Callithrix jacchus: one gene and its partner. Each later gene encodes a partner of the first gene's protein in a complex. Links are inferred from orthologs where the notes say so. Each region holds a gene or a part of one and is shown in the gene's direction. Other genes may lie near its edges.

What was found. Proteins that work in one complex are often made in the same cells at the same time.
Region 2: TERT (region 1) and DKC1 share a complex: the UniProt entries of both Homo sapiens proteins name them as parts of the telomerase holoenzyme complex. The link is inferred for Callithrix jacchus from reciprocal best matches to the Homo sapiens genes TERT and DKC1.

Annotation. Positions count from the first base shown.
Region 1 is NC_133503.1:204,807,219-204,811,960, forward strand, and holds part of TERT (telomerase reverse transcriptase), read left to right. Parts: intron 1-1,159; coding exon 1,160-1,340; intron 1,341-1,978; coding exon 1,979-2,158; intron 2,159-2,597; coding exon 2,598-2,753; intron 2,754-4,742. UniProt on the Homo sapiens protein: Telomerase is a ribonucleoprotein enzyme essential for the replication of chromosome termini in most eukaryotes. Active in progenitor and cancer cells. Inactive, or very low activity, in normal somatic cells.
Region 2 is NC_133524.1:150,505,834-150,511,251, forward strand, and holds the start of DKC1 (H/ACA ribonucleoprotein complex subunit DKC1), read left to right. Parts: upstream 1-1,702; 5' UTR 1,703-1,833; coding exon 1,834-1,849; intron 1,850-3,841; coding exon 3,842-3,909; intron 3,910-4,378; coding exon 4,379-4,465; intron 4,466-4,802; coding exon 4,803-4,894; intron 4,895-5,109; coding exon 5,110-5,294; intron 5,295-5,418.

The DNA of each region.
Region 1 (4,742 bases):
ACACTGAGCGCCACACCAGGACACCGTCACTGAGAGCAGGACCTGCATCCCGGTGTGTCATTGACACCCTCACTGAGCGCAGGACCCTGCATCCCGGTGTGTCAGTGACACCATCACTGAGCGCAGCACCCTGCATCCCGGTGTGTCAGTGACACCGTCACTGAGCGCAGGACCCTGCATCCCGGTGTGTCAGTGGCACCGTCACTGAGCGCAGCACCCTGCATCCCGGTGTGTCAGTGGCACCGTCACTGAGCGCAGGACCTGCATCCCGGTGTGTCAGTGGCACCGTCACTGAGCGCAGGACCTGCATCCCGGTGTGTCAGTGGCACCGTCACTGAGCGCAGGACCTGCATCCCGGTGTGTCCGTGGCACCGTCACTGAGCGCAGCACCCTGCATCCCGGTGTGTCAGTGGCACCGTCACTGAGAGCAGGACCTGCATCCCGGTGTGTCCGTGGCACCGTCACTGAGAGCAGGACCTGCATCCCGGTGTGTCCGTGGCACCGTCACTGAGCGCAGCACCCTGCATCCCGGTGTGTCAGTGACACCGTCACTGAGAGCAGGACCCTGCATCCCAGTGTGTCAGTGACACCGTCACTGAGAGCAGGACCCTGCATCCCAGTGTGTCCGTGGCACCGTCACTGAGCGCAGGACCCTGCATCCCGGTGTGTCCGTGGCACCGTCACTGAGAGCAGGACCCTGCATCCCGGTGTGTCTGTGGCACCGTCACTGAGAGCAGGACCCTGCATCCCGGTGTGTCAGTGACACCGTCACTGAGAGCAGGACCCTGCATCCCAGTGTGTCCGTGGCTCCGTCACTGAGCGCAGCATCCTGCATCCCGGTGTGTCAGTGGCACCGTCACTGAGAGCAGGACCCTGCATCCCGGTGTGTCAGTGACACCGTCACTGAGAGCAGGACCCTGCATCCCGGTGTGTCAGTGACACCATCACTGAGAGCAGGACCCTGCATCCCGGTGTGTCCGTGGCACCGTCACTGAGAGCAAGACCTGCATCCCGGTGTGTCAGTGACACTGTCACTGACAGCAGGACCCTGCATCCCGGTGTGTCAGTGACACCATCACTGAGAGCAGGACCCTGCATCCCGGTGTGTCCGTGGCTCCATCACTGAGCGCAGCACCCTGCATCCCACTCTCTGTTGCAGACAGCACTTGCAGAGGGTGCAGCTTCGGGAGCTGTCAGACACGGAGGTCAGGCGGCGGCAGGAAGCCAGGCTAGCTCTGCCGACATCCAGGCTCCGCTTCATCCCCAAGCCTGACGGGCTGCGGCCTATTGTGAACATGGACTACGTCGTGGGAGCCAGAACGTTCCGCAGAGAAAAGAGGGTGACCGTCCTTTGGTTTAGTTTCCTTTTTAAACAGAAATGCGTCTGAACCCCGTGTTCGGTATCTGCTTAGATGAAGGGTGGGAGGATGGGCCACAGGTCACAGCCAGGTCCACAGCTCGGCCCAAGCCCGTTGGTGGGCACAGTGAGGTGGCCGAGGTCAGAAAAGCAGCACAGGGGGTGCTCCTGGGGCAGGGACGGGCTGAGGACCACAGGGAGCCCCTGGGCCTGGGCCTAGATGCAGTGGGGCCTGAGGTCCCAGATCCGTGTCCTGCTGTGGTGTTTCTGTGTGTGTGGGGCCCAGGGACCAAGCCACAACTGCCAGAGCCCACCGGGCACTGGGAACCCTGGGACCTCGCCCCCCAGCTCCTGTACCCACCCCTGTGCTGCTGTGGCTGCAGTGACCCCCTCAGTGTGGGGTGAGCTGGGCAGAGAGGGGTCATGTGAGGGTCCCATGTGGAACACACATGGGGCCCGCAGCACATTTCAGACGGGGCCTGGGAAGCTGTGAGGGGTTTAAGGCCCTGGGTCTGGGCGGCTGGGGACGCTGGGGTGGGGCTGCCTCTCCCCCGGGTCCCTCTGGTGGGCAGGGCACCAGCCGGGTCCGCTTTCCTGACCATCTCCATGCTGCCCTGCCAGGCCGAGCATCCCACCTCGAGAGTGAAGGTGCTGTTCAGCCTGCTAAACTATGAGCGTGCGCGGCGGCCCAGCCTCCTGGGCGCCTCCGTGTTGGGCTTGGACGATATCCACAGGGCCTGGCGCGACTTTGTGCTGCGCATGCGGGCCCGGGACCCACCACCTGAGCTGTACTTTGTCAAGGTGAGTGCTGGGGAACCCCGTCGGCAGCCCTGCTGGGCCTCGGGAGTGGCCGCCTGATTCGCACCTGTGTTGGCTGGAGGAGGTACTCCTGGGTGGGCCGCAGGGAGTGCAGTCACTGTTGGGGACACATCGGCTCCTGGGGTGGAGGCCTTGTACCCCAACTGCCCTAGGGCTCCTGCTCCCAGGGGAGGTCTCACCAGATACCATCAGGGAAGGGACTGTACTGGCTCAGCCACCAGGCCCTGGTGCCTCGAACCCCAGTCCTGAGCCAGGGGCCTCCTGTCCTGAGGCTCAGAGAGGAGACAGCCCACCTTGCCCTTGGGGTCGGGAGGGGTGGGGGCCAGAGAGAGAGAGGGGGATGCAGCCACAGCCAGGACCTGGGAGCAGAGGTGTCGTCTGCGTCACTGAGTGGATACCATCAGCCTCCTTTCTCACATAGGTGGACGTGACAGGCGCATACGACACCATCCCCCAGGACAAGCTCGCGGAGGTCATCGCCAGCATCATCAGGCCGCAGGCCACATACTGCGTGCGGCAGTACGCTGTGCTCCAGAAGGCCGCCCACGGGCACGTCCGCAAGGCCTTCAAGAGCCATGTAAGGCTCCTGTGTGATACAGTGTGTCCAGATGTGTGTGTCTCTGGGATATGGATGTGTCTAGGATGCAGTTGTCTGTGATGTGTTTCTGTAAGGTACTTCCATGATTTACACGTCCGTGATGTGTGTGGTGTGTGTGTGTCCATGGCACAAGTGTGTCTGTGGCATGTGTGTGCCCATTGTGTGTCTGTGGTGTGTGTCTCCGATGTGCATGTTTGCTATGTGTTTGCATGTGTGCTTGTGGTGTGTCACTGACGTGCATGTTTGCAGTGTGTCTGGTATGTGTGTCTGTGGTGTGTATCTCTGATGTGCATGTTTGCCATGTGTTTGCATGTGTGCTTGTGGTGCGTCCCTGACATGCATGTTTGCGGTGTGTCTGACATGCGTGTCCATGCTGTGTGTGCGGGTCTCTGATACGCATGTTTCTGGTATGTGTGCATGTATGCATGTGTGTGGTATGTCACTGACATGCATGTTTGCCGTGTGTGTGTGACGTACATATGTATGTCTGTGATGTACATATTTGTGGTGTGTGTATGTCTGTGACGCGTGCCTGTCCCTGTTGTGTTGTGTGACTGATGTGTATGTTTATGCTGTGTGCATGTGTGTGATGTGTCACTGACATGCATGTTTGAAGTGTGTGTCCGACATGTCTGTAATATACATGTGTGGTGTGTGTGTCTGCTACACATGCGTATGCATGCTATATGTCTGTGGAGTGTGTGGCGTATTACTGACGTGCATGTTTGCGGTGTGTGACACGTGCGCCTGTGATTACATGTGTGGCATGTCTGTGACACGTGTGTGTGCATGCTGTGTGCTGTGTAGTATATTACTGACATGCATGTTTGTGGTGTGTGCATATGTGTGTCTTGTGTCACTGATGTGCATGTTTGTGGTGTATGACGCGTGTCTGTGATGTACATGTGTGGTGTGTGTCCCTGACACGTGTGTGTGAGTGCTCTGTGTCTGTGGTGTGTGGTGTGTTACATGTGTGTTTGCAGTGTCTGTGTCTGTGGTGTGTCACTGACATGCGTGTTTGCAGTGTGTCAGGTGTATGTGGTATATTACATGCGTGTTTGTGGTGTGTGGTATATTACTGACATGCATGTTTGCAGTGTGTGCACGTGCAGTGTGTGCATGTTTGTGGTGTCTGCACGTGTATGTGGTGTCACTGACATGCATGTTTGCGGTGTGTCAGGTGTATGTGGTATATTACTATCATGCATGTTTGTGGTGTGTGGTGTATTACTGACATGCGTGTTTATGATGTGTGCATGTGTGTTGTGTATTACTGACATGCATGTTTACGGTGTGTGCACGTGTGTGTGGTATATTACTGACATGTTTGTGGTGTATGGTGTATTACTGACATGTGTGTTTACAACGTGTGCACGTGTGTGGTATATTACATGCGTGTTTGTGGTGTGTGGTGTATTACTGACATGCGTGATTATGGTGTGTGCACGTGTGTGTCTGTGCTGTGTGTGTGGCCCTCAGCCTCCCCCTCCCTCTGCTGGGCATGAAGCTCACCATTGTCCTTGCACCCTCAGGTGCTGGTGTGGTGAGTTCTGTGTTCAGGGTCCTCCCATCCAGCACGAGTGCCCCTGTCCTGTCACAGGGCTGGGCCTCAGAGCCTGCAGGCTGGGTTTGGGAGGAGAGGGATGCTGGTGGTACCTTCCTGACGCCCCTGGCACCCCCCAGGACTCTAGCCTGGCCTGTGCCAGCTCCACAAGAGATGGGAAGGCCTACACAAGCCTCGCTGCCCCCGGACACTCTCCTCCCAGGGCGGCCGGGGCCTTGGGGTTCAGCCGGGGTACAAGGGGCCCTGGGCTTGGGTTCCCACCCAATGATCATGAGCATGCTGGAGTATGGGGCTTAGCCCCCCAAAGCAGTGCCAGGCTGGGGATGCAGAGGTGGAGACGTGTCCTCAGGTTTCGCTCTGGGGAGAAATACGAGTGAAAACCTGCCTGGACCTTTTCTTCCCGC
Region 2 (5,418 bases), on another chromosome or scaffold:
TTTTGCTCCTGGTAAATTATTATACTTTTGTGTGTAGAGGGCTGAGCTTTAAGTTTATTTCAAATTCCAGAGGGCTGAACTGTGAGTCTCTTACTAAGGCGTGGAAAAGGCTCTGTGTAGCATACTAATAGGTTATGCCATCTCCAGAAAATGGCCCACTGAGTATTGTGCTTCTTTTTTAGCAAGCAGAGGGTTCCAGGTAAGGCAACCTGTCTTTCTCTTTGGAGGGACCATCTCAACATGTCTCAGCCCACTGGATGCCCAGAAAGTTCACTGAGGTGTCACCTCCCTGAATTTTCAAGGGGCTTATCTCTCACCTTGTGGTGAGACATTTGCCACTTCCTATGCATCAACATGATGTCTGGGGGTACAGTGAGATGATCAAATCAGTTCCCAGGGACTCAATTATGATAATGTGCAGAGGCTTCCTTTGATCTTTCCTTCATTTATCACCCTCAGTCCTTGAGTCAGGAAGCCCCTGTGGGAATTTTTCCAGCCACCAATTGTGTTTATTCTAAGTATGGATTCAAGAAGTGGGGAGAGAGCCACAGGGTGGCTGAGAGTGAAAGGGACATGGGCTGACTCCACTTCTGACAGTGGCATTCTACTTCCCCAGGGATTAACACGAGCTTGTGCAAGTCTCTGGTAAATGTCCATGGGTCCCAGGGTAAAGTAGGAGGCAGGCTTAAACTACACACATGTGCCTGGCCTCACTTTTACAGGCTTACCTCACAGGCTCTGGCCTGTGGACTGTCTAGATCTGGGAATTAGATGAGGCACCATGATTTTCCATTGTGGTGATTCAAGACAGGATGCCTTTAGCCAGATCTAGCGTTACAGGGGTTATACAGATCATGATGGCTTACTATAGGACACCACGATCAATTAGACAGCACCAAAGATCCCTGGGGAGAAATCAGTTTGGTTCCAGCTTCCAGCCTTGCTGCCTATCATGATACCCAGGCTCATCCTGTTTCTATGAGATTTAGTGCCAGTGCTTTGTCTCTGCTGTTTGGCGTGAAGCCTGGTCGTAGAGTTCCAATTGAGGTGTGCTGTGACAGTAAACACACACACACCGGAAAGACCTTGTGGGGACCAAAAAAAAAAAAAAAAAAAGCAAAATATCCCATTCATGCAGTTGTGTTTTGCCTATATGCGGAAATGATAATATTTCGGATACGCTGGGTTAAAAAAATTCATTATTAAAATCAATTTCACCCTTTTCTTTTCACTCTTCTTCCATGTAGCTGCTAGAAAAAGTCAACATGTGGCTCATGCTCTGCTCCTAGTGGCCATCCGCTCTAGCTGGATGGGAACTGCAAGCAGCAAAAGGCTTTCAATCTCTCCGAGCCTCAACATGTTCACTTTTGAATCAGGACTAATCCGACACCAAGCTGAGAGAGTCAGTGTCAGAAAGCAAAGAGCTACCGACTACGCAGCGCTCAGCCGTGAGCCCAGGCGCAGGCGCGGAGGTAAACCCGGAGGTAAACCAACGACAGCTGGGGACACGCCCACAGACTCCGGGCTGCCGGGGAGGGCGGCACTAGCGCTTCCAGCCGGGGCTAATCGGGCTGGTAGAGGCTCGAGGCGCAGGCGCGGTGGCGCGACCCTGGCTGAGCCAGCCAATCGCATTGCGCGGAAGATCCGCGCGCCCGAGCGCCTCGGGTCGCCCCGGGAAAGGCCCCGCCCCCTCCCGCTCCGCGGCGAGGCACGCACAGGGTTGTGCGCGGAGGGGCAGGCCTAGCAGCGCGGCCTCACTGGACTGTGGCGGCGGGAGTCTGCGGTAGTTCTGCGGGCCGTGGACCAGGCGGTACGCACGCGGTGCAGGGTAACATGGCGGATGCGGAAGGTAAGGGCTGCAGGCGTCCGGACTATGCTAACTCCAGGCGACTCGGGGAGCCGGGAATGGGGGATGGTATACGGGCCCGCGCCCACCTCCCTCTGATTCCCGCCGGCGCGTCGGCCTCTTAGCCGACCGGCCTTGTCGCTCGGCCCTGGCTCGATGGCGACGGCGGGAGTGGGAGTCCCTCGCGGTGACTTGGTATGGCGGGGCTCGGGCCTCTCACCGATGACAAGCCTCCCTGGGGTCCGGGTTTTCGTCGTAAGACATCTGTCGTGCTGCCCACCCCGTGGTGGCGGGGGACGTGGCAGCGTTTGTGCTGCTGCTAGCCCGGACGCCGCCAGTATAGCTCCATGCGACGATGGGAGCAAGGGTGGTGGAAACGGGCCGAGAAGAAAAGGAGCCGGGGGACCCGTGAGCAGACATAGCTCCGAGTTGCAAGAAACTTCTAGAGGCCACAAGCTGGCGGGGAGAGTCGAGTGGTCGCTTATGGAACTGTCGGGTCCCCTGCGTGAGCGCTTCTGTGGGATGTTTAAGCCCTGCCATAGCCACGTGGTGAACCGGAAGGCAGTTACCCAGCCATGCGACCCATATATTTGGCCTTACACACTTTGTTTTCTCGCTGACCTACGGATATACTTTCTGAGAAATGGGTCGTTAGGCAATTTCATCGTTGTGGGAACGTCGGAGTGCTCTTACACAAACCGAGATGGCATAGGCCACTACACACCTGGCTGTATATGGTGAGCCTATTGCTCTAGGCTCCAAACCTGCACGGCATGGTACTGTGGGGAATGTTATAGGCAGTTGGAGCACAGTGTCGAGACGATGTGTATTTAAACATGTCTAAGCGGAAAAAGGACAGTAAAAATATAGTACAGGGCTGGGCATGGTGGCTCATGCCTGTAATCCCAGTACTTTGGGAGCCCTAGGCAGGCCGATCACCTGAGGTCAGGAGTTCGACACCAGCCTGGCCAGCATTGTGAAACCCTGTCTCTACTAAAAATACAAACGTTAGTTGGGCATGGTGGCGTATGCCTGTAATCCCTGCTACTTGGGGAGGCTGAGGCAGGAGAGTCGTTGGAACCTGGGAGACAGGTTACAGTGAGCCAAGATTGTACCACTGCACTCCAGCCTGGGCAACAAGAGTGAAACTGCATCTCAAATGTGTATGCATATATAGTACACAAGGTTAAAAGTGGTGCACCCGTAGAGGAGAGCACTTGCCATAAATGGAGCTTGCTGGGCTGGAAGTTGCTTTGGTTGAGTCAGTGACTGAATGTGAAGGCCTCAGACATTACACTACTGGAGACTTTATAAAGTCTGTACACTTAGGCTACACTAAATTTATAAAAATATATTTTTCTTTTTTTTTATTGCATTTTAGGTTTTGGGGTACATGTGAAGAACATGCAAGATTGTTGCATAGGTACACACGTGGTAGTGTGATTTGCTTCCTTCCTCCCCTTCACCTATATCTGGCATTTCTCCCCATGCTATCTCTCCCCAACTCCCCACCCCCCGCTGTCCCTCCTCTATAAAAATATATTTTTCTTCAGAATAAATCAGCCTTAGCTTACTGTAACTTTATAAACTATTTCCTTCAACCCTTGTAATAACACCTAGCTTAAACACATTATTCAGTTGTACATAATTATTTTCTCTGTTTATATCCTTATTTATAACTCTTCTACTTTTTTTTTGTTTTTACATTTTTTTTTTTTGTTAAATAAGACACAAACACACACAGTAGCCTTGACGTACACAGGTCAGGATCATTAAGACATCACTAGGAGACAGGAATTTTTCAGCTCTGTTATAATCTTATGGAGGCCACCGTCACATTTGCAGTCTGTCCTTGAACAAAACATTATGTGGCATGTGACTGTAATTGTAGACCTAAGATCCATTTCCTACCCCTAATTTTGGTTTTTATTTTAAACTCATGCTCATTTATTCTTGGGGAAAATTCTCAAATCCTGTGTTTGTTTTTTTTTTTAGTGATTATTTTACCAAAGAAACATAAGAAGAAAAAGGAGCGGAAGTCATTGCCAGAAGAAGATGTAGCCGTGAGTAGTAATGTGTTTGACTTCACTTTGACTAAAAAGAAGGTTTACTTAAATAACAAACTAAAGGAAAGAAGTGTTTTAAAGGTTTCCAAGAATGGGCCAGGATTGGTGGTCATTGTGTAGATTTGAAAAAGTACTGATATGACAGCCCCAGACAGTCCAAGTCTCCTTCAGGCATAGCTTACTAAATGGTGCTGGGCTTCCCAACTGCTGTCTCTGAATTTCTCTTCCTTATCCCACCCACAGACCCACTATCCCCCTTTCTCTTTAAATTTTTGGACCCATCTTAGTGGCATTTCACTTCCCCTCTGTACTCCTGGTTCATTTCTTCTCTTTCCCCTGGAGGTCCCACTGAAAAGGCATAGAAAGCCTTACTTTCTATTTAAAAGGCACACATTTCCGTGGTAGCAATGGAATTATTCAAAATCGGGTGGGAAGTCTAATAGGTTATATTTCTCTTCTGTGGAAGGAAATACAACACGTTGAAGAATTTCTTATCAAACCTGAATCCAAAGTTGCTAAGTTGGACACGTCTCAGTGGCCCCTTTTGCTAAAGGTATGTGGTTAAGATCAGGCATCAGGTGAATGTCTGCTTTTATGTTATTTCCAAGTGTTAAACAACTGATAGTGTTTAAAGCAGGGTTCCTTAAGGTATCTGAAATGAAGAACCAAGTTTAAAACAAATTGCAATACACTCAACACTGTTGTAGAATACAACATATGTCACCACCACAATATTAGATTGCTAAGTTTGTAAACAATTAGTTCTCAGTTTTTGTACTTACTCCGTCTTGCCGACCTATGCCAATTTGTGGGCCGCATAGTGCTGCTGACTCGTTTTACATGTGTTCGTGACATGTTACTTTGTTTTGTGTTGTGTCGTCACTTTCTAGAATTTTGATAAGCTGAATGTAAGGACAACTCACTATACACCTCTTGCATGTGGTTCAAATCCTCTGAAGAGAGAGATTGGGGACTATATCAGGTAAGTGTTGGGAGGAGGCACTGTTGAAACTTACTTTCTTTTGAAAATGATGCTTTCACACCAGCTATTCAAGAAGATAGTAGCATGTCAGAATAGCTTTGTCCTGAATATATAACCTGTACCCACAGTGAATTCTTTTTCTTTTTGACTCTTCAGATTTGTTGTTTCATTGGAACACACGAGTGGGTGATACATTAATTTTTTTTTAATTCTAGGACAGGTTTCATTAATCTCGACAAGCCCTCTAACCCCTCTTCCCATGAGGTGGTAGCCTGGATTCGACGGATACTTAGGGTGGAGAAGACAGGGCACAGTGGTACTCTGGATCCCAAGGTGACTGGTTGTTTAATCGTGTGCATAGAACGAGCCACTCGGTTGGTGAAGTCACAACAGAGTGCAGGTATATGGGGGAGGGAGGGAAGGACTGGCTAGAGTCCAAAGCTTTCTGCATTTTCTTTCTGCGTTTTGCCTGATGGAAACTATTTCTTCATTTGGGGAAGAAAATTCTGAAGCAAGGATATTGT